Sus scrofa: one gene and its partners. The protein of the gene in region 1 purifies or fractionates together with the protein of each later gene. This does not show direct contact. Links are inferred from orthologs where the notes say so. Each region holds a gene or a part of one and is shown on either strand. Other genes may lie near its edges.

Region 1 (3,500 bases):
CTAAATATGTGCTGTATTTAACTAGAAGTTATCACATAATGATTACAGAGTTATTACTCTTTTCCCTCTTGGGACATGGCATTTAATTTGAACAGTTAAACAGCCAATGTATGAATCTACTCCCTCGTTAACATAATAAATACACCTATTTGAAATATATGAAGACAGAAGTCTTTCATACTTCTTCCCGCACTCCTGGTATTTATCCTGTTTTTTTAAACTACTGTACATGGATGTCTCCCCTCCCTGCCTGAGTCGGCTCAGGTCCCTAGCAGTGCAACAGGTGCTGACACATTAATCCCAATGAATGGTGGTAAAACAATGACTTAACAACTCACTTATTTTCTGCTCACCTCACATTCTTGTTCTCTGGCTGAACAGGGTTCACTGTCTCCTTCAGTATCTGTTTCAGAGTCGTCTCCCAAGCTAATCACACACGCATAGGGACAAGGCTCCTGCTGGGGCTCTGAAACATAATCATCATTTCCGATTTCCAAATTGCTCGAAGAGCCTTCAGTACTCAGAGTACTTATAAAAGGGCAATTGACAGAACTCAGCGTTGTAAAAGTCCTCTGACCCGGTTCCGGGCTCTCGCTAATCCTGATACCTAGCCAGGGACACTCAGACCGTTTCTGGGAGTAGATCTGTTCTGAGCCATCTTTGGCCATGGCAGGTGATAATTGCATTTGGCATGGAGAGTCCGTGCTGCAAATGTCAGTCCAGAAGCCTTTCGCTAGGTGTTCTGCCACTTCTCGCTCTACACTACTCAGATCACTTGAGGCAAGGCTACTATCTTCCCTGGAGCCAGAGTCAGATTTCAAACGTAAATCTTGACTCTCACCAAAAGTTTTTTCTTCTTGAACATCTGAACCCGACAACGGCTTCTCTGTTAACACTGCTGTGTTCTGCATACCAGCAAAATTCAAGTCACCATATTGGTCATACGTGTGTAAAAGAGACAGAGAATAGAGCCCATGGGGGTCTGTAGAACTGGGGGGGAAAGGAGTTGCTCCTGTTTTTTCTGATGGGCACTGAGAGGCAGGATCTTTCTTCTTGGCTTCTTCATGTTCCATTGCTAATTTTCTTTCTTCACATTTTAAAATCACCTGCAAATCTGCACAGTCCTGGACACCTCCTGAACACTCACGTTCGGAGGGCTCGTTTGGCTGAACAGAAGAAGTGTGAATGTCTTTGACACTGGACTCCACAGCACGGACTCTGTCAGTTCCAAACGCTTTCTGGAACTTCCGGTATTTGGGGCATAAAGACGGCAGAGACAGAGCAGCATCCTTTTCTAAGCACATGGATTCACATGTTTGACTGGCACTGTCTTGCAGAGGAGGCAGTACTTGTGCACTCCCCTGATACCGGCGGAGTTTACAGTGAGGAGTCCGCACATTTTTGTGTTCCAAAAATTCCTCCACTTCATCAATTTCTAAATCCTTCTGGTCCAAAAGTGAAAATTTAAAATCTGGTTTCTGACAGGATGATGAGAAACATTTTTTTCTTGGGCATTCTTGCTGGTCTGCAGCAGAGTCCAAAAACTTGTATTTGAGAAACTGAAAGCAGGATTCCTCAATATCAGATACACCTAAAAATTCCACACATTTGCATACTTCGTCCACATTGTCCTTACTTAAAATCAGTTTAGCGGTGTAGGCAAACTGAATTAAAGGTTCGAATCCTTTAACTGTCACCTGTTAATATACAAAATAAAAACAAATGCATCACATGAAAGCTGTCTAGTAGATAAGTACAAGAGAAGTAGGAAGGGAATGAATGGCAAGATGGGTAACCTCTCCATAACGGCTTATTTTAATGGGTATTTTAATTTGGTAAGAAAAAACATTCTTCCAGGAAATGTAAAGCAAAGGGAGTCTGGGAAAGCATAGTTCGCACATCCTATTCATTACAATCACACCCTCCACTTTATAGATTTCACTCTCAATGACCCATGGAGTTCAGTTTACTGATAGGAGGTAAGACATAAACACCGCCACAACTGTCCACATTAGCTGAAAGAAATCATCTATGGAAGAAAGCAGCATGGACACAAGTTGCAACACAGAGTCAAGTGCCAGGTGTCTGCTGCCATCCCATCTCCATGTGGTCCCTACATTCCACCAACTCCCCAACTGCTATAAACTACAAATGTGAAATTTGTAACAATGGAAAACAAAGTATCTAAAGTCCTGACCCATGGGGAATGCACAGTAAATGGTAACTATTATCTTTATCTTTTATCTCATGACAAAAATCTAATAAAATTTTTTAATTTCAGTTTTAAAAAGTGAGCTAAGAGAAGATCTAAAAAATTATGCCAAGTATTGTTTCAGAAAAGATTCATGGACTCTAGGTAGTAACATCTTTAAGTAGGAACTTGTGCATTTACACTGCCTCTGCAAAATGAGGGGCAACTGAAGCCCATGGCAACACAAGGAAAGTCTCATTCTGGGCTTAAGACACAAAATTAGTTTTAAAACACTGAATTCTTCTAAGAATGATCAAGATACACTGTCATCAAAGAGCAGCCTGCACAGAGCTGTTACACACATGCTTTGTCCAAATTCCTTTTAACAGCTTCTGATGTGTGTCCCAATGCCTAAAGCTCAGCACTCTTCCAGCTGTAGATACTAACGCAATCAAGCAAGCTGCTGGAAGAGTCCCTGCACCCAGCTCCAGCCCTAGAGAGAGGTCTCCTAGAGGCAGGATGGTAACAAAGACTTAAATGTCCAGATGAGTAAGCTCCACAACAGGCTGGTGGGCAAAAGGTGTGTGAGAACAAGGCTCTATAAAGATGACATAATAGCACCCTTTTTCTAATAATGCATAAGCCACAATCTCAAGAAAGAAGAGAGGGAGAGAAAAAAGAACAGTTCTGGAGTACCTTAACACCCACACGTAGACAAAATGAGGAGGCTGGAATGCATAATCTTTTGGGTTCCCTCCAAATTCTAAAATGCTTTGCTAAGAGCTACTTGAAAAGCTGAAAAATCTGGCAACTCTGGCTCATAGTTAAAACAATTAACACTGAGCATCCCAGGGAGCCACCAATTCACTCCCAGCCCATGTCCACGAGGGCATGTCTGAGAGGAATGGAGGCTGTGGAGACCCCTAATCCCCATCACAGCTCCTCATCACAGGAAAAAAGGAAGAGTATGGCCTGCAGTGTGGTCCCTCCCACCCAACATGACCTCACCAAATGTCTGTAATCCACCCGCTGCGTCATTTCATCAAAAATAATGTAACAGGGGTCAAATTATTCAACTGCTCAATAAATACTAACTAGCACCCAAAGTTAATCATTTTACATGGAAAATGTCATCATTTCCAAGAAAACAAAAAAGCTAAGGAAATGCACTGTTGCAGAAGCCAAGGAAGGGCTCCTTGGCCTATTTTAACTTTATAAACCATGACAGAATTAATGACATTCGGTTAAAATCAGGGTGACCTCTCCCACCTCCTCAGGCAGAGTGATGCGCAGCTCAGCGTCGGCCTGG
Region 2 (3,254 bases), on another chromosome or scaffold:
GGGGGCCGACTGAGCCGGGAATCCCAGCACTAGGTGGGTGAACAGGTTCTTGGCAGGGCTGCAGAAAGGGAGGCAGGGCGAGGGGGAAGGAGGGACCCTCCGGTTTTTGTTTCCTGCCCTGGAAGTGTGGCCCCCACATAGGGAGCCGAGAACCGTCGGGCCAGAGGGGGCTGTGCAGGCCCCTGGGGCCGATTGTGGGCACTTGTGAAAGACCTGGGATGGGGTGGGGCAGGGCCGCAAAAGCTTGCAACCCAAAGCCACCGGATGGTTACTCCATCAGCAGCAGAGGTGGACCGAGGGCGGAGGGCCTGGGGCAGGGCTCCTCTGGCTGGAGGCTCTGCCGCCTGGAGGGTTGGGAACTCCCACCAGTGCTGGAGCAGAGTCGGGTGGGTTGGCCAACCCCATTTGCTGCTCTTCCGTGTGAGCCCTCTGGGAGCCTCCGTCTGCCCTGCAGGGCTGTGTCCCAGGGCGGCTCAGGGGCAGCGGAGGCCGGAGGTGTAACCCTGGAGTACACACGCGCAGGGTTGCTGGCCTCGGCCCTTAGCTGCTGCTGGCCAGGCTGGCCTTCGCGGCCCCAGCAGCTGGCTGCTGCCAGGCCCCTGGGGCTGCGTTGGCTGGCGGCCTGGGGAGTGCCAGGCCGGTGAGAGAGCGCGGGAGCGATGTGCTGAGTCAGCATGACTCGCCAGGAACAGCCGTGCTCTGGGGCGCACTGGGGTTATTTTTAAAGCTCCCGGCTTCCTTCTAGGCTGGCCCCTCCCGCATCCTCCTAATCTCTCCCCTGGCCCCCTGGCCCCTTTTCTCGCCTCTGCCTCCCTGACAGCCTTCAGTTCCCCTTCCCCCTCGGACCCTCCTGGCCTCCCACCTGGTTCCTGGGGGCAGGGTGGACAGGGAGCAGCCCGAGCCAAGGCTGAAGGGTGGTTCTCGGGGCCAGGTACCCAGGGCAGGAGCAGGCAAGGGGCGAGGCTGAGGGCTGGACGGGCAGAGGCGGCCGGGGAGGGCACGGGTGGTCTCCGGGGTCCTGACCTCTGCTCCCTGTCTCGCAGAGTGCCTGCTTGCTGCGCCCCCCGGGTTATGACGACCCCCAATAAAGGAAACAAAGCCTTGAAGGTGAGCAGGGAGGTTGGGGCCGCTCTCGGGCTGGGGTGGCACCGGGCGGGCGGCCTCCATCTGGCCTGTGACCTCGCCCGCTGTGCCCTCCCCAGGTGAAGCGGGAGCCAGGCGAGAATGGCACCAGCCTGACGGACGAGGAGCTGGTGACCATGTCCGTGCGGGAGCTGAACCAGCACCTGCGGGGCCTGTCCAAGGAGGAGATCATCCAGCTGAAGCAGCGCCGGCGCACGCTCAAGAACCGCGGCTACGCCGCCAGCTGCCGCGTGAAGCGGGTGACCCAGAAGGAGGAGCTGGAGAAGCAGAAGGCGGAGCTGCAGCAGGAGGTGGAGAAGCTGGCCTCCGAGAACGCCAGCATGAAGCTGGAGCTCGACGCCCTGCGCTCCAAGTACGAGGCCCTGCAGAACTTCGCCAGGACGGTGGCCCGAAGCCCCGTGGCACCGGCGCGGGGCCCCCTTGCTGCCAGCTTGGGGCCCCTCGTCCCCGGCAAGGTGGCCGCCACCAGCGTCATCACAATAGTCAAGTCCAAGACGGACGCCCGGTCGTAGGGACGTGCTCAGCCCGGCGGGTCTGCAAGGGGCCAGTAGGCGCGTGGCAGATTCGGCAGCCCCGTCCCCTTCCTCCTCCCCCGCTCCCTCCTCTTGGCCCTCCGCCTCCTCCCTTCTCTCCTCCCTTCCCTGCAAAGCACAACCTGCAGCCCAGGGGCGCCGGGCTGAGCCCCTTTGATCTCGTCGTTGTCATCGTGTGTTTTGTACGTTGGGATTGGTCAGTTCGGCGGTGACGTGGGCGGCCCCGCCCCCTCGGTACCTCGGGCAGGTGGGCTCGGCGTCCAGAGAGGGCCTGGGGGCCTGGACGGAGCGAAAGATGGAGCCAGTGCTCTGGGGCAAGTGTGGCCCCGAGCGGGGAGGGCTTCAGGGCAGGAGGGGCTGCTCTCCATTACAGAGGGGGCCCCCGGGGGCCCCGACGGCGCGGGGCAGGCAGGGCGGGTCCCTCTCAGCCCGGCCATTGCCGGCGCTGGGGGGGCCTGGGGCGTCGTGTGGCTGCGGGCCAGGGGCCTTGGGCTCCTGCCTGAGGCGTTGCACTGAACAAGACCAAATCACTGGTTGTGAGCGTCCGTGAAGGGTGTGTCCAGTGTCCTGCAGTGGGTCCCCTGTCACTGTTTACATGACCTATTTGTGTGGTTACATAGCCCTTTATTTAAGAGAGAGAAGTTCCTTTTACGAAGTTATTAAATTATATGTTTAAAAGCTACAGAAGAAAAAAAGCTGCAGAGTATTTATAAAATTGTCTTTTTAAAAAAAAAAAAAATCAAGCCAGAACGTTTGACCATAGGCACGGAAAAGGGAAGAAAGCATAATAGAAACTTTGCTAGTTTAGAAAAAAGAGAAAAAAAATCAACAAAAAAAAGTCCCTTTCTTGTAAACTTACGGACAAGTCTTTGTGGCTGTTGGAGTTTAGTTTTTATATACACAGAGTTATCAGACGTTATTTATAAAACTTAGTTTAAAAAAAAAAAAAAAAAAGAGCCGAGCCGCGAGCGACCCGAAGGCGCGTCCTCACACGTCCTCTTTGCTGTCTCTCTTGCAATTGTACCGAAAGTGACTTACTCCTCTGCCCTTCCTGCTTCCGTCTCTGCCGGTGCCGTGGTGTCGTGCGTGCCTGGTGCGGTCTTGTGCAGCGTCACGTGCTGGTGCTTCTGGTGACCTTTGACCTGTGGGTGTCCCTTCTTGTGTCTCTTCTCCCGTGTTCGTTTTTTGGATTGGGTTGTGGTTTGGCTTCCGCTGGCTTGTCAGGCTCGGGCTGGGGTGCCGGCTTGTGCCTGCCGCACGGAGCGTGGGGTCCGGGCCCGGCCTCTTCTGCTTTGGCGCCCACCCCAAGCCCCAGGGGGGTCAGGTGCGGGGGCTCTGCCACCCCCACCCCACCCCCACCCCCCGGCTGACCCTTGGCTTCGCGTGTGTGTCTTGGGCTTGGGCTGATCCAGCGGCAGGGGAGTTGAAACTGGGGGCCGTCCGGGCCTCCCCCCTGCCCCCCGCCGCTGCTTCCTTGCTCACCGCCTCTGGCCCTGGGTGGAGGCTTTGCGGGGATCAGGGAGTCACTGTGCGTGTCGGCGGAGTCAGGGCCAAGCGTGTCTTCCTTCTGGCCTCCGT
Region 3 (4,234 bases), on another chromosome or scaffold:
TGACCTTTACTTCAGTTGGGTCAAAGGAGCATGGTAACTGAGCAAAACAACAAAGAGTTTTGGGATGAACACTGTGTAAGAATAAGCAACACAGATTTGTTATTAAGGTTTGAACATAAGAAATAAAATATTTGGAATCAACTCTACTTAAAGAGATTCACCGGAGTAACAACCACTAGATTTAAGAAATGAAGCTACTGAAAATGCCTAGCCCTTAAGATGTGGCTTAGAATAAAAATTTAGTGATAATCCATCTCTGTCTAATATCAATACAGCAGGAAATTCATAAAGTCATGTTATGCAAAGTACAAATGTCACTATATTTCTATGTTCCAGCACTTCATACTGTATAACTCATGTAACTGGAATCCCAAATGAAAGGCATTTCAGAGTGCTTATGCATAGCTGACTTGAGATCTGCCTCTTCTTTCAGATCTCAGCCCAGATGTTGCCTCTTGCAGTTTTCTCTAAATCCCCAAATCAAGCTAGAAACCTTCATTCCACAGCAGCCTGTGTGTACTGTTCCTATCATAGAATTTCCTGTAGTTTTGTAATGGCTTATAATAACATATTTATCCATCCCCCACCTTAGACAAAACTGCCTGAAGTTAGGGACAGTGTTTTGTTTTGTTTTTTAACTTAAATTTTTATTTAAAAGAATTTTTTTTTGTCTTTTTGTCTTTTTCCAGGGCAGCACCCATGGCATAGGGAGGTTCCCAGGCTAGGGGTCTAATCGGAGCTGTAGCCACTGGCCTATGCCTCAGCCACAGCAATGCGGGATCTGGGCCATGTCTGAGACCTAGATACCATAGTTCACGGCAATGCTGGATTCTTAACCCACTGAATAAGGCCAGAGATTGAACCCGCAATCTCATCATCTTCCTAGTCAGATTAGTTAACCACTGAGCCACGATGGGACCTCCAGGGACAGTCTTAATCATATCCGTATCCTCAGTATTTAGCTCAGGGTTGAATCTGGAAGTGTGGAAAAGAAAACAGTCACAGGGAATGTGGGAATGGGAATAGGGTTTTGTATAGTAATCAGTAGGGTCAAATCCACGTCCACCTTTGTCTGCCAATCAACAGCTTTGGTGCCAAGTACTCCGTAGTCATAGGGAGAAGATGATGGATAAGAACATTATATTCTCCCCTTTTCCAGTCTAGCTTTAAAACCCCTGGAAAATTATTTCTATTTGAGATGGATTCTTCATTCATGAAACAGGAATAAAAAAAAAAATTTACCTCATATTACAGCTGTTAGGATTACTAGAATTTTATAAGAAATCACTACAGTGCCTCACACACATACCAAGCCTCAAATAAATGATGTATTACTACTTCTGAAACTGTGAGCCTGAAATTTTGTGTAACTGGCAAAACCAGTCTAATTTATTACAAGCAAAAAAAAAAAAAAAAATTCTCATAAGATACACACTGCTGACAGAACTTAGAAGAGGTTCTCTGAATGTCTAGGAAAGTATATGGTCCTTGAGCCTTTCAATTAAAAAAAAAAAAAAGCTTGTGCTAATGCATTTGCTCACTTGGCCTCATTTCCATTTGCAAGTTAGCTGATAGAAATTAAGGTGGAATGAGTGACTGTTAAAAAGTATACATTATGATGGGTGAGTCATGAGTTTTGATGTTAAGTTTTATTACAGGCTGCTCAGTTTGGCTGCAGAAACTCTTAGTTTCCTCATCTGTAAATTGTTGACAATATCAGTACCTGCCTCACCTGGCTGTTGGAAAGATAAATCTGATCTAGCCAGAAGACCTCAGCAAAATCCCTGCATAGTTACCTCCAATAAATGGTAAGTGCCTTACAAACGACATCTAAGGCTTCCTGGTTACTGTGCTTAATTAAGCACAGCAGTGGTTAAGAGCACAGCATGGTTTGAGGAGGCTGGTTTGGGGCCCCAGTTCTGATATCTGGATTGCATAACATTGAGCAAATATAATAAACAAGTCTCCATCTTTTTATCAATAAAAACAACAGATAATATGTATTTGCGGGAATTAAAATAAAAAAATAATTGATGTAAAAACTCAGTATGCTATCTGGGGTACTGTACTATCAAAATTAACTCCCATTACTTAATCTATAGTGTTTTTGTGCTACTGCCACCCATAAACTGCTTTAACCAATTTTCCTTTTCTTAGGCTTGAATGGAATATTAATAAGAAATCCACAAGTTCAAACAAAATGCGACGGTAAAATATTTTTTTATCAGTGAGACTCTCCGACTTGACCAACAGATAGCTACCGCCGCTTCCTCATTCCTATTCCCTTCCATCTGTTTTAGTTTCCGAAGGCACTAATTGTTTATTGGCTGCATTCTCCAATTAATGTAAGATCTATGGGGTAGGGGCTTTGCTTCGCTCACTGCTGTATCCTTATCATCCTGAATAGTGCTTGGTATGTAGTAAATACTTGGCTTATATTTCAGAAAAAAGGAGTCAATAAAAGGAGTCCCGTCCCAGCCTTAAAAATCGCTATTTGCCTCTGATGAAGGGAAGCAAAAGGGGCAAGAGGTATGAGAGTATCTCCTGTCCCCCATCTCCTTTCCCCGTACGCACCGGAAGGGTCATTGAATCGTTTCAGGGGCGCCTTAGGAAAGGACATGTTGACGACCAGCTCCACAAACACGAAGGTATCAGCGCTCCTCGGTAACTTCCAGAGGGTTATTATGGCCTACTGTCTTCAAATTCAAATCTCCCTGATTATTCCCGCCCAGGCGACATTGGCCAATCGGAAAACCAAAGCCTTGGGTACACCAATCCAGGAAGGGAACACCCAAAGAGCCTGCGTACTCGGCTCTCGCGGCGTCCAATCAGGTGGCCTGCTAGTTTAGGTTATCACCCAATAGGAGACTAGTACTTTTTTACTTCGACCCCTCCCCCACACACTGGCCCAATCACTACTGGCTTTACTCAATTTCAACTACGCCACAAGCAGCATTTGCGCAATCGCAGTTCACATCAGCGAATTTTTCAGTCGCTCTTGACGTCATATTGGTGGTACTGTCCTGCGTTCTAACTTTACGAGTTGCAAGCCTCTTCCATCGGTCTTTGGATGTAAACTTTTCCGGATTTCAGTTCCTTCAACCTGGGTCCTGCCAGTGTCCTAATGGCCATTGAGAGGAAAGAAAGAGCGCAGGTGGAAACACGGGGGTCCACTCCTGCGCATGTGCAGTGACCCGAGCGGAGGAGACGGGGCGTGGCCTGGGCGCGGAGGCTCCGCGCTTGCGCTCAGTTTTCTCGGTGCCACCGCAGCCGGGAGGCGATTGGAGTATGTCAGCCCCTTTTGAGGAACGCAGTGGGGTCGTTCCGTGCGGGACGCCGTGGGGCCAGTGGTACCAGACGTTGGAGGAGGTGTTCATTGAAGTTCAGGTCCCGCCAGGCACTCGCGCCCAGGATATCCAGTGCGGCCTGCAGAGCCGGCATGTGGCGCTGGCCGTGGGTGGTCGCGAGATCCTCAAGGTAGCGGCAGGTCGGGGCTTATACTCAGTTTCTTTCCAGCCTCCTCAAATCCCCCAGCCCTAAATATCATGGTTTTCGTGGAAAGACTGCTGGAGGGCCGTTCGGCTCCTCTTGACTGGCCGAAGCAGGGATGAGATTGCCCTGGTTTTCGGTCTGGTAGGAGCCCGCCCCCGGCTCAGGGCCAGCCACATTTGAGGTGGGAATTTGAGTAGCCCTTTTCTCTGGCCTTGTTTTTAAGCCAGATGAAGCTGCTGCTTTTGTTCCTCTGCGGGTCTTCTATGAGAACAGCTTAACTTGTCCTTGAAAGAACAAATAATTATAGTACATGTACTATCTTCCAAGCACTGATCTAGGTGTTGGGAGGACAGCGGTGAAGGAGCCAGATAATGTTCCCGTACTGTGAGAGAAGTTAGGGTCTCGGCGGGAGGCATAACTAAACTAATAAATATGTGGGCAGTTGTAGGACAGTAAAGATAAAAATAGAGGCTAAAGATGTCGGGATGAGGATTGGGAGGTAATGTCTCATCCAAAATTAGAAAAATTAAGCTCAGCAGAAAAGAATCTGACTAGCGTCCATGAGGACGCAGGTTTGATTCCTGTCCTTTCTCAGTGGGTTAAGGATCTGGCCTTGCGTTGAGCTGTGGTGTAGATCACAGACATGGCTGGGATCTGGCGTTTCTGTTGGCTGTGGTGTAGGCCAACGACTACAGCTTGAATTTGACACCTAGCCCGGGAACCTCCATACGCCCCTAAAAAG
Region 4 (3,500 bases), on another chromosome or scaffold:
AAGATTTAAAGATCAGAAAACTAAACAAAAAAAAATCATAAATAGATGATAAGGGTTTTGGTACGTATCTTTTACACAAATTTCCTTATTCACCCAACTGACAGTAAATGCTTTAGGAGCAAACTGTGCTTTCTTTTGATGTGTCCTTAGGTATCTGAAAAGCCCAAAGTTGCTTAGAAACTTTCCCCAAGTGATCTACTATAATACACTTAAGGACATCATGTTTTCTGCGTAATCTTAAAAAATTATGATTGTTTAGAATTTAGGAGATGAGCCATATATATACCTAGGATTAGTGAAGGTGTGAGAAAAACTAGTTTTTACATTTTATTGTTGAGAAGGTGTATTTATTGAATTGAGAAGTACCTAAATGTCTGACCTTACCTGCAGTACTGTAGACAATAGCAAACAATTTTAAATAAATTGTAGCAATAAAATGGTGGCTTCAATATATTAAATTCATATTAGAATAGAATATGACCGTATCATGCCCTGAGAGTTACAAAGCCCCAAATTTAAGTTATAATAGTCTGCTTTTGTAAGGTCTTGGTTAAATACATAATTTATTCATCATATCTGATAAGAAAACACCTGAAAATATAACAGGTTAGTAATTGATTGTCTCTGGATGAATGATTATATAAGATTTTTACATATAAGCATTAAATACTACTACTTTAAAATTATCAGAAAAAAATACATTTTCCATTTCATAGAAATATCCCTTAGCTTACCTCACTGTGACATATATAATCAACTAAAATAAAGGCAAACTAAATTCATTATTAGTTGTTCACATGGAGAGTGCGCATGGTACAGGTGGCAGAATCCTGAGATTTTGACACTTTTAAAAAATGACTAGGAGTTCCCGTCGTGGCGCAGTGGTTAACGAATCCGACTAGGAACCATGAGGTTGCGGGTTCAGTCCCTGCCCTTGCTCAGTGGGTTGACGATCCGGCGTTGCGGTGAGCTGTGGTGTAGGTTGCAGACGTGGCTCGGATCCCGCGTTGCTGTGGCTCTGGCGTGGGCTGGTGGCTGCAGCTCCGATTCAACCCCTAGCCTGGGAACCTCTATATGCTGCGGGAGCGGCCCAAGAAATAGCAACAACAACAAAAGACAAAAAAAAGACCAAAAAAAAAAAAGACTAGCTGAAATTATAGAAAATTTCCTCATTTTAGAAACAACATTGATTATGGCTAGGAATGTAGAACGGTTTTTCTATATAAAATAAGAAAATACACACAACTATCTAGTAAAAAATGTAACTGAAATATACCACCATACCTTATAAATTAATGTGCTGATTAACTTGGTCTCAAAAATATATCCAAGTGGAATCCAGTTAAGAAATCTGAGCAATGTTTCCAAAGTTGCATGTACAAGTGGAGCATTTTGGGAATTTTCCTACAATAAAAATACGCTTGTAAATCATGTTCTCATGTATGATCATTATTTTTAAAAATGAAATTAAAAGCACTTACCATCACAAACTGACACAGCTGAAAAATTTGTGAGAATTCATTGCACATGCTAAAAAATAAAAGTGATCCATTTAGAAGACACATAGAAATAAAAATACTGTGATTACTTACATACTAACATAATTGGCAGCCTGGACATTAAAAAATTTAATTACTTCTATTTACAAAGTTATTAAAACTATGTTTGTAATATCACTCTTAAGACTCACCTAAAGAGCATTAATTTTGTGGGTTTTTTTTTTTTTTTTTTTTTTTTTTAGGTATGGGTTTTTTTTGTCATCCTTATTCCATCTGAGTAATTTCAATCAATTCAGTCTTTTAAATCAAGATAGGAGACAGAAAATTCTCCGAAATAAGGAGTGGTGTTAGATAGATATACCCCAATCCTAAAATGTATCTATACATCAAATCAAAGGAAAAAATTCTAAATTCTGAAGCTAGTTTCAATACATAAAGATAATACTTCTGTTCCTTAATGACTAAACACATTTTATTACTATGTTGAAGAAAATAAAATTTGACATGTTCCTAGCGTTAACTATTGGGGAAGTGACAAAATGCAGAACAGAAAGATTCACTAGACATTTGGACACACGTAAATTCCTTGGACCTTAATTAACTAGACACCTTATAAAACAGATTACGAAAAGGTTCTTGGGAAGTCTTACCCTATACTATACCCCTTCCACGTGACATGTATAATGCTAATTTGCTGTAATACCACATATACTTTTTAGGCCTTCATATTTAGAGTATTAGACCACTCCTTTACCTTTTTTTTTTTTCTTTTTTTTTCTGTCTCTTTAGGGCCATACTCACCGCATATGGAGGTTCCCAGGCTAGGGGTCGAATTGGAGCTGTAGCTGCCTGCCTACACCACAGCCATAGCAGCTCCAGATTCAAGCCATGCCTGCAACCTACACCACAGCTCCTGGCAATGCCAGAAACCCAACTCGAGTGAGGCCAGGGATTGAACCTGTGTCCTCCTCATAGATACTAGTCAGATTCGTTTCTGCTGAGCCGAGACAGGAACTTCCTCACTTTACCACTATTTAAATTATTACTCAAGAAGAACTAGAAATGTGCTAGTTTTCAACAATCATAGTTTCATAAAAATTTTTAATCTACATCCGAATGCCTTGGAATTGTTAGAAAAATTACTTTAAAATTCTAAAACAAGTACTTGCCTGTCTTTTAAATGCTTAGCTTTCACTTGGGTTATCTGTCCACTAGAGAAATCAAATACTTCTTCACTCAAGAGTTTCAGAATCACCATATTATTCTGACAGAGACTTTCACTGGTCCTACTTGCTCCAACAATGTCACTGATAAAAGTTGGCCAGTGTTTTGGCCATTCTTGTTTCAATATCTAAAATAAGATAGGAAAAGTTAATTTCATTTTTCAATGGCAAATAAGACAAACTTCATAGACACTGTGATACCAGAAGCTGGAGCAAATACCAACCATCTTTGATTTTCTCCCCTCTCCTACAGTAAGACAGGAAATGTGCTACTCTCCATATAATACACTGAGTAGAAAGTACAACACTGATAAAGTTCTTTGTCTCAAAAGCCCCATTCCTCCTCTCAATTATCCTGACTGCTCTAATCTGGCTCTAATGTATATCTGTCAGACATGTGCAAATTATCCTAGGAGACTCAAAGATCAAACTCTATGTGATAAAAAAGGTGATGGGCAGGGAAATATAGTAGGGTTTGGATATATAAACTCTGAAGAAAAGCAGCATTCCCAATGGGGACAGAATCATCTTTGACCAAAGGCTTAATAGATTTTAAGGTCTGTACTGCTTATTTTGTAAACTAGGGATTTCCAATCCAGATATTCTATAATAGTACCTGTTACTAAGAGGTAAGCAAATTAACCTCTTCGTACTCTTTCTTTTCCCAGTACGACAGGTTTACAACAAAAAGTCCTCAGTATAAAAGCCAGCAGAACTTAGTAACTTAGTAAAAATCCAAGTGTTGGGGAAAACCCAATGTTCCTATAACTTATTTTAC
Region 5 (3,500 bases), on another chromosome or scaffold:
CCCCTGCTGCGGAGGAGGAACCCAAGGCTCGCACGACCCTGCCCGCATTTGCCACGGGACCAGGTGACCGCCCACAAGGAGCTGCTTCCCGAAGCCCCCTGAGCCGCTAGTGCCCTGGTGGGAGGACAGGCACACGCGTGTACAGACACGCACACGCCTGCACACGCACGCCGCCCTTCCCCCGCCAGCTTCTCGGGGCACCGGCCTGGGGCTGAGGCTGAAGCAAGCTCCCGGTGCATCGGGACCCCACGGTGCTCGGCTCCTCCCAGGGCACCGCGGAGCCGTCGGGGCGGGGACGGGGTGCTGCCCTGGCGGGGGCGCCGCAAGGGGGCCCGAAGCGCTGCGGGGCGTGGACAGGCTGCTCAGGGTGGGGGTGGAAGACGCGGGGGCCTGGAACCGTCTGAGGACCTTCCCTCCACACATCCCAACTCCTCCAGCGCAAGACAGAAGCCCCAGAAATGCCCCAGAAATGTCTGCAGAGCACCGGCAGGGCCCAGGAAGGCCGGGTGCGGGTGCGGGCGGGCGTGCGCGTGAGAAGGCGTGCGGCACACGGGCCCTCGGGAACCGGCTCTTTCCCAGCCACAGCCAGGGCCCCGCGGGCCTCCTGGACCGGACGCGGTACTGAGGGGTCTGGACCTCCGACCAGCTCGAGGGACGCGCCCCGCCCGCCCGCCCGCGCCCCCCCAGGCCGGGCACTAGGAGGCGGCGGAGAAGGGCACGGAGGTGGAGGAGATCTCGGCGGACTTGACGATGGTGATGACGCTGGTGGTGGCCACCTTGGTGGGCGTGATGGGGCCGCGGGCCACCGTGCGGGCAAAGGTCTGCAGGGCCTCGTACTTGGAGCGCAGGGCGTCCAGCTCCAGCTTCATGCTGCTGTTCTCGCGGGCCAGCTTCTCCACCTCCTGCTGCAGCTCCACCCGCTGCCGCTCCAGCTCCTCCTTCTGCGTCACGCGCTTGATGCGGCAGCTGGCCGCGTAGCCGCGGTTCTTGAGCGTGCGGCGGCGCTGCTTCAGGCGGACCACCTCCTCCTTGGACAGGCCGCGCAGGTGCTGGTTCAGCTCCCGCACCGACATGGACACCAGCTCATCGTCGCTGAGCACCGGGGCGTTCTCGCCCACCTCCTTCTTGACCTGCGGGGCCACAGCACAGGCTCAGGCGGGGACCCCGGCGCGCACCGCGAGGCCCAGGTCTGCTCCCCTCCGCGTCCCAGGCCGGCCCGTCCTGCTCCAGTGGGGTCAGCCGACCTCGTGCACTCGGGGCGGTGCAGGGGTGTTCGCTGGCGGGGGGGCCTCTGGCTATGTCGGCCACGACCGGTGACCGCTGGCCGCCCAAACCTGCGAGGCCTCGGCCCAGCGGGGCTGCCTGTGACCCTCTGGTGCCCGGTGCAAGGCTGCCATGGGGCGGACGGCCGCCCATCTCTCTGCACCCCTCAGACTCCAGGACCCAGCCAAGGCCAGTGGGCTGGGCTCCACGGACCGCAGGACCTCACGAGAGGCTATGAGAGGCTTGGCCCGCATATGCTCCAAGAGCCCACCTCGGGCCAGGCCCAGCTCTGCTCCGAGACGAGAGACGGCCAGTCCGAGGACACACGCCAGCCCCCGACGTGGAGGCGCAGGGAGCCGGACCCCGGGGGCCAGAGCACCCTGCTCACTGCACCCCTCAGGGGCTCTGTGGGAGCAGAGGCCACGTGACCCAAACCCCGGTGCCGGGGGCTCAAATGTTCTCTGGCCAGCCGGCCCCCACCCCTCCAGCCCCTGGACGTCAGAGCCCCCAAACTCGGTCGCCACTTTTCCCAAAGATCCTCCCTCCCTCCAGGCAACAGCTCCTCCCACCCTTGGGACAGGCCTCCTTCCCCGCGCTCTAAGGGCGGCATCGGGACGGGGCGTCTGGGGCCGAAGGGACCTTTGCCAGGCCTGGGCGCAGGGTCTGCCCACCCCACCCCTTACCTTCAATGCCTTGTTCGGTTTGGGATTAGTCGTCATAACCTGGGCACCGTCACCCGGACAGAACCGTGTGGAAATGGTAACTAGAAAATCACAGAGCACAGAACGAGCGTGGTTAGTTCCTGGCCGGGCACAGGGCAAGCTGCGGTCGCAAGTGACCCAAAGCAGGGACCCCCGGGGGATGCTCCCAGGCGGCGCCACCCCCACCTGTGCCGTCCAGGCATAGCCCCTGAAATCAGGGCATCCTGGCTGGGCCTGAGCCTCTCAAGGGGCCCGGGAGGGCACGGGCCACACCTCAGGCTCCAGCCCCGCCCGCAGAGGAGCCTGGATGCCCTCTGTCTGGTGCCCGGCAGCCGCAGGGCCGTCCCGCACCCCGCCTCCCCCTGCCTGCAGGGCCTGGCCAGGAGCACCTGTGCCTGGGGCAGCTCTGGGCAGGAGCACTGCCACTTCCTGTTCTGACCTTGGCCCTGAGCTCAGACGCTCGCACCTGGGAGGCACTGGAAGCCACGTTCAGGGGACACGGCTCAGCAGCAAAACCCCCTCTGGACAGGCCACACCCAGCCCCTGACAATCACCGCTGGACCCAGGGACAGCAGTGCCCAAGCAGGACCCGTCACTCTGGGCCCGCCTGGCCCCCGACACGAAGGTGCCTTCTGGGGAGCTCCTGCCTTGCTGAGCTCAACCCAACGATGGGCAGGGAGGGGGAGCCCCGAGCCCACGGGGCCCAGGCCTCACCCTCCCCGGCAGACCTACCTCTGCCAAGGGCACTGCAGCTGTGACATCACCGCCTCCACCTCGGCTGCCCCACAGCCATGACCTGAGGCCCAGAGGTGGGTGGGGGCTCCCACGCCAGCCCGGACGGGGGAGGTGGGGGCCACCACCTCCAGAGCTCACCGACCGTCTGGCGGGAGTTGTCCCTGCAGCCCGCCCTTCTCATTCTCGCGTCTGCATTGTGTCACACATTCTAATCATTCATGAAAAAGCCAGCCAAAGCATCCCAAGCATGATTCCCCTCTGATAGTTGCCATGGCGACCTTGGGAAGTAGCCAACCCCTGATGGTCGTCATGGAAACAGAGAAGCCCACAGCAACAATGGCTTCGGGCGGGCTGTGCAGGTTTGCGAGGCAGTGAGCAGGCCCCTCGTGCGGGCGGCTGGGGAAGGGGCGTGGGATTCCTGGCCCCTGACTCACGGGGACACTATGTCACCGGCTTCAAGGACTGGGGGCTGCCCTCCCCCAAGCCCAGACAAGATCCAAATGCCAGGCAAGGTGAACTGAGCAGAGACAGGGTCAGAGAGACACCCGAGGAGCGTCTCAGGGCCAAGACGAGGTGCACCAAGGCCTCCACACTGGGGGGACGGGGCCCTGGGTGGGTACCTCGGCCTGCAGCCCCAGGACTCGACGGAGCACTGTCCGGGCCCGCCACCACCGGCCCTGCCTCCGACAGCTGCCCACCCTTCACCACCAGAGGGGCTCAGCACCCAGGCCAGGGGACTCCCGGGGGTCCCTGGCAACACGGCTGCTCTCCGGGTGCGGGGAGGGAGAGCAGAACAGCAGC
Region 6 (3,371 bases), on another chromosome or scaffold:
ACTCTGACACTTGCTCCGTGTCACTTTTTTTTATGTTACCTTCTAAGTGGATATTTATCTTTTATAATTTGGATTCTCTACTCCTCCATCCCAACACTGTTTAAAAAAAAAAAAAAAAAAACTGCATAAATAGGTATTAGGTGCATTTACTTGTGACACTCTTAGAGTTAAACAGAAAAGTGCCAGGAGTTCCCGTTGTGGCTCAGTGGACATGAATCCAATTAGTATCCATGGGAACTCGGGTTCGATCCCAGGCCTCACTCAGGTGGGTTAAGGATCTGGTGTTGCTGAGCTGTGGTGTAGGTCACAGACATGGTTTGGATCCTACATTGCTGTGGCTGTGGTGTAGGCAGGCAGTTGTAGCTCCAGTTCGACCCTTAGCCTGGGAACTTCCATATGCCTCAGGTGCAGCCCTAAAAAAAAGCAAAACAAACAAACAACAACAACAACAAAAACCCAGAAAAGTGGCAGAGAGAGAGAAAAATAAAGGACACAGCAACCACCAAACAAGAGTTCTTTATTTAAGAACTAAATGCTAAGAACACAGATATTCTAAAGAAGAGACAGATAATTAAGAAACAGAGTTTTGGAGTTCCCATTGTGGCTCAGTGGTCACGAACCTGACTGGTATCCATGAGGATGCAGGTTCAATCCTGGCCTTGCTCAGGGGGTTAAGGATCTGGCATTGCTGTGAGCCATGGAGTAGCTCACAGATGCAGCTGGGAGCTGGCCTTGCTATGGCTGTGGTGTAGGCTGGCAGCTATAGCTCCAATTTGACCCCTACCCTGGGAACTTCCATGTGCCACAAGTGCAGCCCTAAAAATAAAAATAATAATAAAGAAATAGAGTTTTCGGTTTTTTTCTAAACAGGATTTTGATCATGAAAATTAATGATTCAAACCTCTAATGCAGGAGTGCACAAAAATCTAGAAAAATGCAATGCATATTTTATCTCTTACCTGAATTACCTGAGAACCCTAAAACATTCTCTTGAAGAGATATCAAGATTCAAATTGTGCAAAGAAACGGTACCCATTAGTGTTTAAACCATAAAACCAATACCTGGCTTACACATGATAAAATAAAAATAAAGCACATAAAATAACGTGCAGTTCATAGAATTCAAAGAAAATCGGGATGGGTGTGCCCTGGTGGCCTAGTGGTTAATGATCCAGCATTGTCACTGCCATCTTTTGGGTGGCTGCTGTGGCATGGGTTCAGTCCCTGGCCCAGGAACTTCCACTTGCTGCAGGCATGGCAAAAAAAAGAAAAAAAGCAAGCAAACAAACAAAAAAACCTGTATCCATAGTGTTTCACCCACAAAACCAGTACCTGGCTTATGCATGCTAAGAACAAAATAAAGATAAAGCACATAAACTAAGAGCATTCAAAGAAAATCAGGGTAAAAGAAAGGCAATTAGGACAGGAGAGATGCCGCTAAGCATCCTTGCTCTGACAGTGTCCAGGGCGAGCCTGGGTGACGGCGGCAGCTCCGAAGGCACAGGGCCGTCACTGATGGGAGGGATAAAGTGTGATATCTCTCACGGCCACCAGGTTAGCGGAGGCTCGGATGAAAGTCCCAGAATTAAAACTGAGGTAGTTTTCCGTGAGGAAGGTTCTCCTTGAAAGCATGGCCAGCATGTGGTTGAGTCGGGACCTGATCCCAGCCAAGTGGAACTGCCGCTCTTTGTTTAAGTTTCTGAACGAGTCTCTGAAGCACAGATCCAAGTGGGGGGTGCTCCAGTACTTGGGGTGTCCCGGCGTGACGAGGTCCGTGGCTCTGAGGGAAGCCGGGGGGCTGCCGGAGCTGCCCACGGAGCCTTGGGACGACAGAGAGGAGGAGGAAGACCGCGAGCTGGAGGACCCCGACACAGACATCTTCGACACCGGCGACCCTTCTTTGGACGGGACTCCCTGCGAGAAGAGGCCACCCTCCTCCGTGTCGGTCTGGGTCGTGGCCGACGTGGACCGGACCGCAGTTTGGGAGCTCGCCACCCTGGTGCCAACCGTGGTCTGGGTGCCAGCACAAGCTGTGGCTGCGCTGGCTTGGGTGCCCGTGTCACTCGTGCTCACTGCTGGCGTCCCCTCGCCTGGCTCCGTCTGCGTGGCGGCATCGGTCGCCCTCCTGCTGTCTGGCCTGTCCCTGTGGCTGCTGAAGTAGTCGTCCTCACTGATGGTGGAGGACTCGGCGTCCCCGCGCCTGGCCTCTGCCCGGTCCTCCTTGCACCCCGGCTCGGCCTTCCTGGGGGTGCTCGAGAGCCTGGCCAGCCGCAGCCGCAGCAGGTTGCCCAGCGTGAGCTCCTTGGACGGTGTTTTCTGGTCAATGAGGTGGTCAAACTTGCCACTGATCTGGAAGTTGGACAGGAGTTTGGCGCTGATGGGCTCTGACTGTGCGTACAGGATCCGGAACTCCAGGTCAAAGTGTTCGACCACTTGGCCAGACAGAATGACCAAGTTGCTGCTGTTTAATTTGCCATCTGTCCAGGTGAAACTTAAGGAATAAAAACAAACAAACAGAAGCTGGTAAGGATGAGGAATCTTTGTTTACTTCTTGTCAACCTGAATACAAAGCCTGGACAACCCAGTCGCAACTCTGGTGACAGCACACCTATCATTTAGTGTGTATTCAACTAGTCCAGACACAGAATATAACATAGGTACGTGTTAACATAAAATAAAAAGGCTGGAGTTCCCGTTGTGGCACAGCGGAAATGAATCCGACAAGGAAGCATAAGGTTGCGAGTTCAATCCCTGGCCTCACTCAGTGGGTTAGGGATCTGGCGTTGCTGTGGCTCTGGCGTAGGCCGGCAGCTGCAGCTCTGATTAGACCCCTAGCCTGGGAACCTCCACATGCTGCAGGTGCAGCCCTAAAAAGCAAAACGAAAAGGCCCCTGTTGGAGTTCCCCGGTGGCTCAGTGGGTTAAGGATCTGGCATTGTCACTGCTGTAGCGTAGGTCTGATCCCTGACCTGGGAACTTAATGCCATGGGTCTGGCCAAAAATTAAGAACGTTTTTTAAAAAAGGCCACTGTTTACCAGGCTAAAATTCACAATTCCAGTTGTTAAAAACTGGAAAGGACTCCTAAAGCATTTAGGCCAGTGCCCTATGTGAGAAGTGAGGAAGCTGCCTAGTGACATCACAGTTGGAAGCAGTGACAGGGCCTAGACTAGGCCGCTGTCCCTAAGAACCACAAAGGCAGAGCTCCTTGCTCTCTTCCGCTATGCTGCCATTTTCACAAAGGGGGACAGGACTGTCATTCTAACCCCACCACCCCTGCACAGAAAGCTTTCCTTTCTGCCCCCTCTCCAATCACAGTGGTGGTGGGCAGGTGACCCAGGCTGGCCAGAGAATCCTATCCCCTAGGATGCAGG
Region 7 (2,253 bases), on another chromosome or scaffold:
GGTGACCCGGCTCAAACAGCGGCGCCGCACACTCAAGAACCGTGGCTACGCCGCCAGCTGCCGCGTGAAGCGTGTGTGCCAGAAGGAGGAGCTGCAGAAGCAGAAGTCGGAGCTGGAGCGCGAGGTGGACAAGCTGGCGCGCGAGAACGCCGCCATGCGCTTGGAGCTCGACGCGCTGCGCGGCAAGTGCGAGGCGCTGCAGGGCTTCGCGCGCTCGGTGGCAGCGGCCCGCGGGCCGGCCGCGCTCGTGGCGCCAGCCAGCGTCATCACCATCGTCAAATCCGCCCCGAGTCCGGGGCCGGGCCCCGCCCCCGCCGCTGGCCCCGCCCCCGGGCCCGCCCCCGCCGCCTGCTCCTAGTGCCCACTGAGCCCCGCCCCCGCGCGCCCTGCCCACGCCCACCCTCCAAAGCACGCCCTTCCGACCCCAGCTGCCTTCCCTAAGAAAGTGCCTAAGCTCATTCTCTCTCCCATTTCTCTGCAGCCATTTCTCTGCAGCCACCAGTCCTCGAAATGAACACACGTTCCCTCCCCCGAGCCTGTCTTCCTCGTGTGGTCCCTGAAACTGGGACTTGATGGCCCTGGGGAGGGGCAGCTCTGGTGAGATAGGAGGTTGGGTGAGGTCAGGGTCTGAGTGAGGTCTTTTTTGGCAGAAACTTCATCCTTCTTGGTTTGGGAGGATGGGCTACAGAGCAGATTGGAAAAGGGCCATCAGGGGGAAGAGGGCCACCCCTCATTTTGTAACTGCTCAGCTTGCGCCAGCGGCCCCTCTTCACCCTCCCAGGATACAGCCCCATCTGTGTCTTGCGGAGCTGTCCAGCTGGGACGCGGATGCTCCCACCTCTGCTTTGGTCCTGGATGCCTGGCCTTCCAAAGCGTCTTTAGAAATTGCCTAGTGAAGTCCAGTTAACAGATGGGAAGACAAGCCTCCAGTGGACATGACAATGCCCAAGGCCATACATGCTTAGTGGTTGAGCTAGAACTAAAAGCCACGGCTTCCTGCTGCTGCCCTGAGATTCCTGCCATGGTCGGCCGGGGGCAGGGCAGGGGGAGACAGTGGGCAGCATCTGAAAAAGGTGGTGCCAGGGCCTCCCTGGCTTGACAGACGGCTCTTTGTGAGGCAGGGGAAGAGAAGCAGAAGGAGAGAGAAGGTGATGCAGATGGAAGAGAGGGAAGGAGCTGGCCTGGCTCAGTCCTGGGCTCTCGCTGCAGCCAGGGAGCTGGCCAGCCGGAGAGAAAGGGGACCAAGGAGGTGATCACAGTGGCAAGTGGGGAGATGAGAAGACAGATCCAACTGCCCTGCAGCCTGGGATGGGGGTCCTTAAAAGGAAAGGGTCCCACCTGTCCTCCTGTGAGGGTCTGCTGTGGGCTGGGGGCCAACCCCTGCCATTGATTGCCATTCTCCTGGGAAGGCTGGGCCCTAGCCCCACGCCCACTATAGAGCTTCCTGTCCCTGCTGTTTATTTATTACACGAATCTAAGTTATTCTCCCCCAGCCAGAGCCCTAGCACCCACTGCCTGGGAAAAGTGGTATGCGGTCCTGTGCTGGACTTTGTGTTTTATATCTGCAAATAAATCACATTTTATCTTATATTTAGGGAAAGCCGGCTGACAAAAGCAATCAAAAACTGTTTTAAAAAAAATTGCCCGGTCCCTAGATTTTATTTATTTTTCCGACTTACAGTAAGCGAGTTATCCGCCTTCTGTATTTTGTAGACTTTCTGAATAAAGTCAAGTTCTCTTTTTCCACAGTTTAGAAGTGTATGTCCTGGTCTATGTTTTTTGGGGGGAGGGGGGTGGGGGGTGGGTCCCGAATGAGGGACCCAAGATGCTTTCAACCTCAAGCAGGACCCTCTGCTGGGTGGGAAGGCTGGCCCCAAGTTGCAGATGAAGAGACTGCCCTGTTAGCAGCTCCTGCGCCTGGGCTGTGGGCGGGGCTGGGGCTGGGAGGTGGGGGGTGGGGGAGTGGAGTGAGGGCTGCAGGGGACCATAAACCCCTCCGTCTTTCCATCAGGTTACCTGAAGGCAAGGAGCTTCCTGGGAAGGCAAGCCCCAGAGGACAATGAAATGCAGAGTTAAATGCCCTGGGCATCCCATCAGCAAATAAACAGTCCTGCCCACAGAGGAAAATTCCCCCATTTAAGAGTAATCTTTCCAGCACTTTCACATTGAGGCCTGACTTTGTACAGCCAAGGAAAACATATTTTCCTCATGTTCCAGAAGGCACAAGGAGGCAGTGGACCCCTCAGCCTCAGC

What was found.
Region 2: the proteins of BACH1 (region 1) and MAFG purify together in Homo sapiens (affinity purification with mass spectrometry; 5 studies listed by BioGRID and IntAct, counting the BioPlex papers as one, with this or other methods). This does not show direct contact. The link is inferred for Sus scrofa from reciprocal best matches to the Homo sapiens genes BACH1 and MAFG.
Region 3: the proteins of BACH1 (region 1) and HMMR purify together in Homo sapiens (affinity purification with mass spectrometry; 6 studies listed by BioGRID and IntAct, counting the BioPlex papers as one, with this or other methods). This does not show direct contact. The link is inferred for Sus scrofa from reciprocal best matches to the Homo sapiens genes BACH1 and HMMR.
Region 4: the proteins of BACH1 (region 1) and XPO1 purify together in Homo sapiens (affinity purification with western blotting; 3 studies listed by BioGRID, with this or other methods). This does not show direct contact. The link is inferred for Sus scrofa from reciprocal best matches to the Homo sapiens genes BACH1 and XPO1.
Region 5: the proteins of BACH1 (region 1) and MAFK purify together in Homo sapiens (affinity purification with mass spectrometry; 6 studies listed by BioGRID and IntAct, counting the BioPlex papers as one, with this or other methods). This does not show direct contact. The link is inferred for Sus scrofa from reciprocal best matches to the Homo sapiens genes BACH1 and MAFK.
Region 6: the proteins of BACH1 (region 1) and FAM83D purify together in Homo sapiens (co-immunoprecipitation; 3 studies listed by BioGRID and IntAct, counting the BioPlex papers as one, with this or other methods). This does not show direct contact. The link is inferred for Sus scrofa from reciprocal best matches to the Homo sapiens genes BACH1 and FAM83D.
Region 7: the proteins of BACH1 (region 1) and MAFF purify together in Homo sapiens (affinity purification with mass spectrometry; 3 studies listed by BioGRID and IntAct, counting the BioPlex papers as one, with this or other methods). This does not show direct contact. The link is inferred for Sus scrofa from reciprocal best matches to the Homo sapiens genes BACH1 and MAFF.

What each region holds. Positions count from the first base shown.
Region 1 is NC_010455.5:192,680,289-192,683,788, reverse strand, and holds part of BACH1 (transcription regulator protein BACH1), read right to left. Parts: coding exon 3,461-3,500; intron 1,698-3,460; coding exon 354-1,697; intron 1-353. UniProt on the Homo sapiens protein: Transcriptional regulator that acts as a repressor or activator, depending on the context. Binds to NF-E2 DNA binding sites. Plays important roles in coordinating transcription activation and repression by MAFK.
Region 2 is NC_010454.4:1,072,074-1,075,327, forward strand, and holds part of MAFG (transcription factor MafG), read left to right. Parts: exon of another isoform or gene 1-33; intron 34-49; exon of another isoform or gene 50-931; intron 932-1,043; 5' UTR 1,044-1,071; coding exon 1,072-1,107; intron 1,108-1,202; coding exon 1,203-1,655; 3' UTR 1,656-3,254. UniProt on the Homo sapiens protein: Since they lack a putative transactivation domain, the small Mafs behave as transcriptional repressors when they dimerize among themselves.
Region 3 is NC_010458.4:60,329,225-60,333,458, forward strand, and holds the start of HMMR (hyaluronan mediated motility receptor), read right to left. Parts: upstream 2,801-4,234; 5' UTR 2,621-2,800; coding exon 2,575-2,620; intron 1-2,574. Other genes in the region: NUDCD2 (nudC domain-containing protein 2), read left to right, coding at 3,289-3,477. UniProt on the Homo sapiens protein: Receptor for hyaluronic acid (HA). Involved in cell motility. When hyaluronan binds to HMMR, the phosphorylation of a number of proteins, including PTK2/FAK1 occurs.
Region 4 is NC_010445.4:80,282,516-80,286,015, reverse strand, and holds part of XPO1 (exportin-1), read right to left. Parts: intron 2,851-3,500; coding exon 2,669-2,850; intron 1,531-2,668; coding exon 1,482-1,530; intron 1,405-1,481; coding exon 1,285-1,404; intron 1-1,284. UniProt on the Homo sapiens protein: Mediates the nuclear export of cellular proteins (cargos) bearing a leucine-rich nuclear export signal (NES) and of RNAs.
Region 5 is NC_010445.4:1,029,866-1,033,365, reverse strand, and holds part of MAFK (transcription factor MafK), read right to left. Parts: exon of another isoform or gene 2,697-3,500; intron 2,450-2,696; exon of another isoform or gene 2,431-2,449; intron 2,027-2,430; 5' UTR 1,983-2,026; coding exon 1,947-1,982; intron 1,131-1,946; coding exon 696-1,130; 3' UTR 1-695. UniProt on the Homo sapiens protein: Since they lack a putative transactivation domain, the small Mafs behave as transcriptional repressors when they dimerize among themselves.
Region 6 is NC_010459.5:41,889,352-41,892,722, reverse strand, and holds the end of FAM83D (protein FAM83D), read right to left. Parts: intron 2,492-3,371; coding exon 1,510-2,491; 3' UTR 501-1,509; downstream 1-500.
Region 7 is NC_010447.5:9,683,151-9,685,403, reverse strand, and holds the end of MAFF (transcription factor MafF), read left to right. Parts: coding exon 1-358; 3' UTR 359-1,753; downstream 1,754-2,253. UniProt on the Homo sapiens protein: Since they lack a putative transactivation domain, the small Mafs behave as transcriptional repressors when they dimerize among themselves.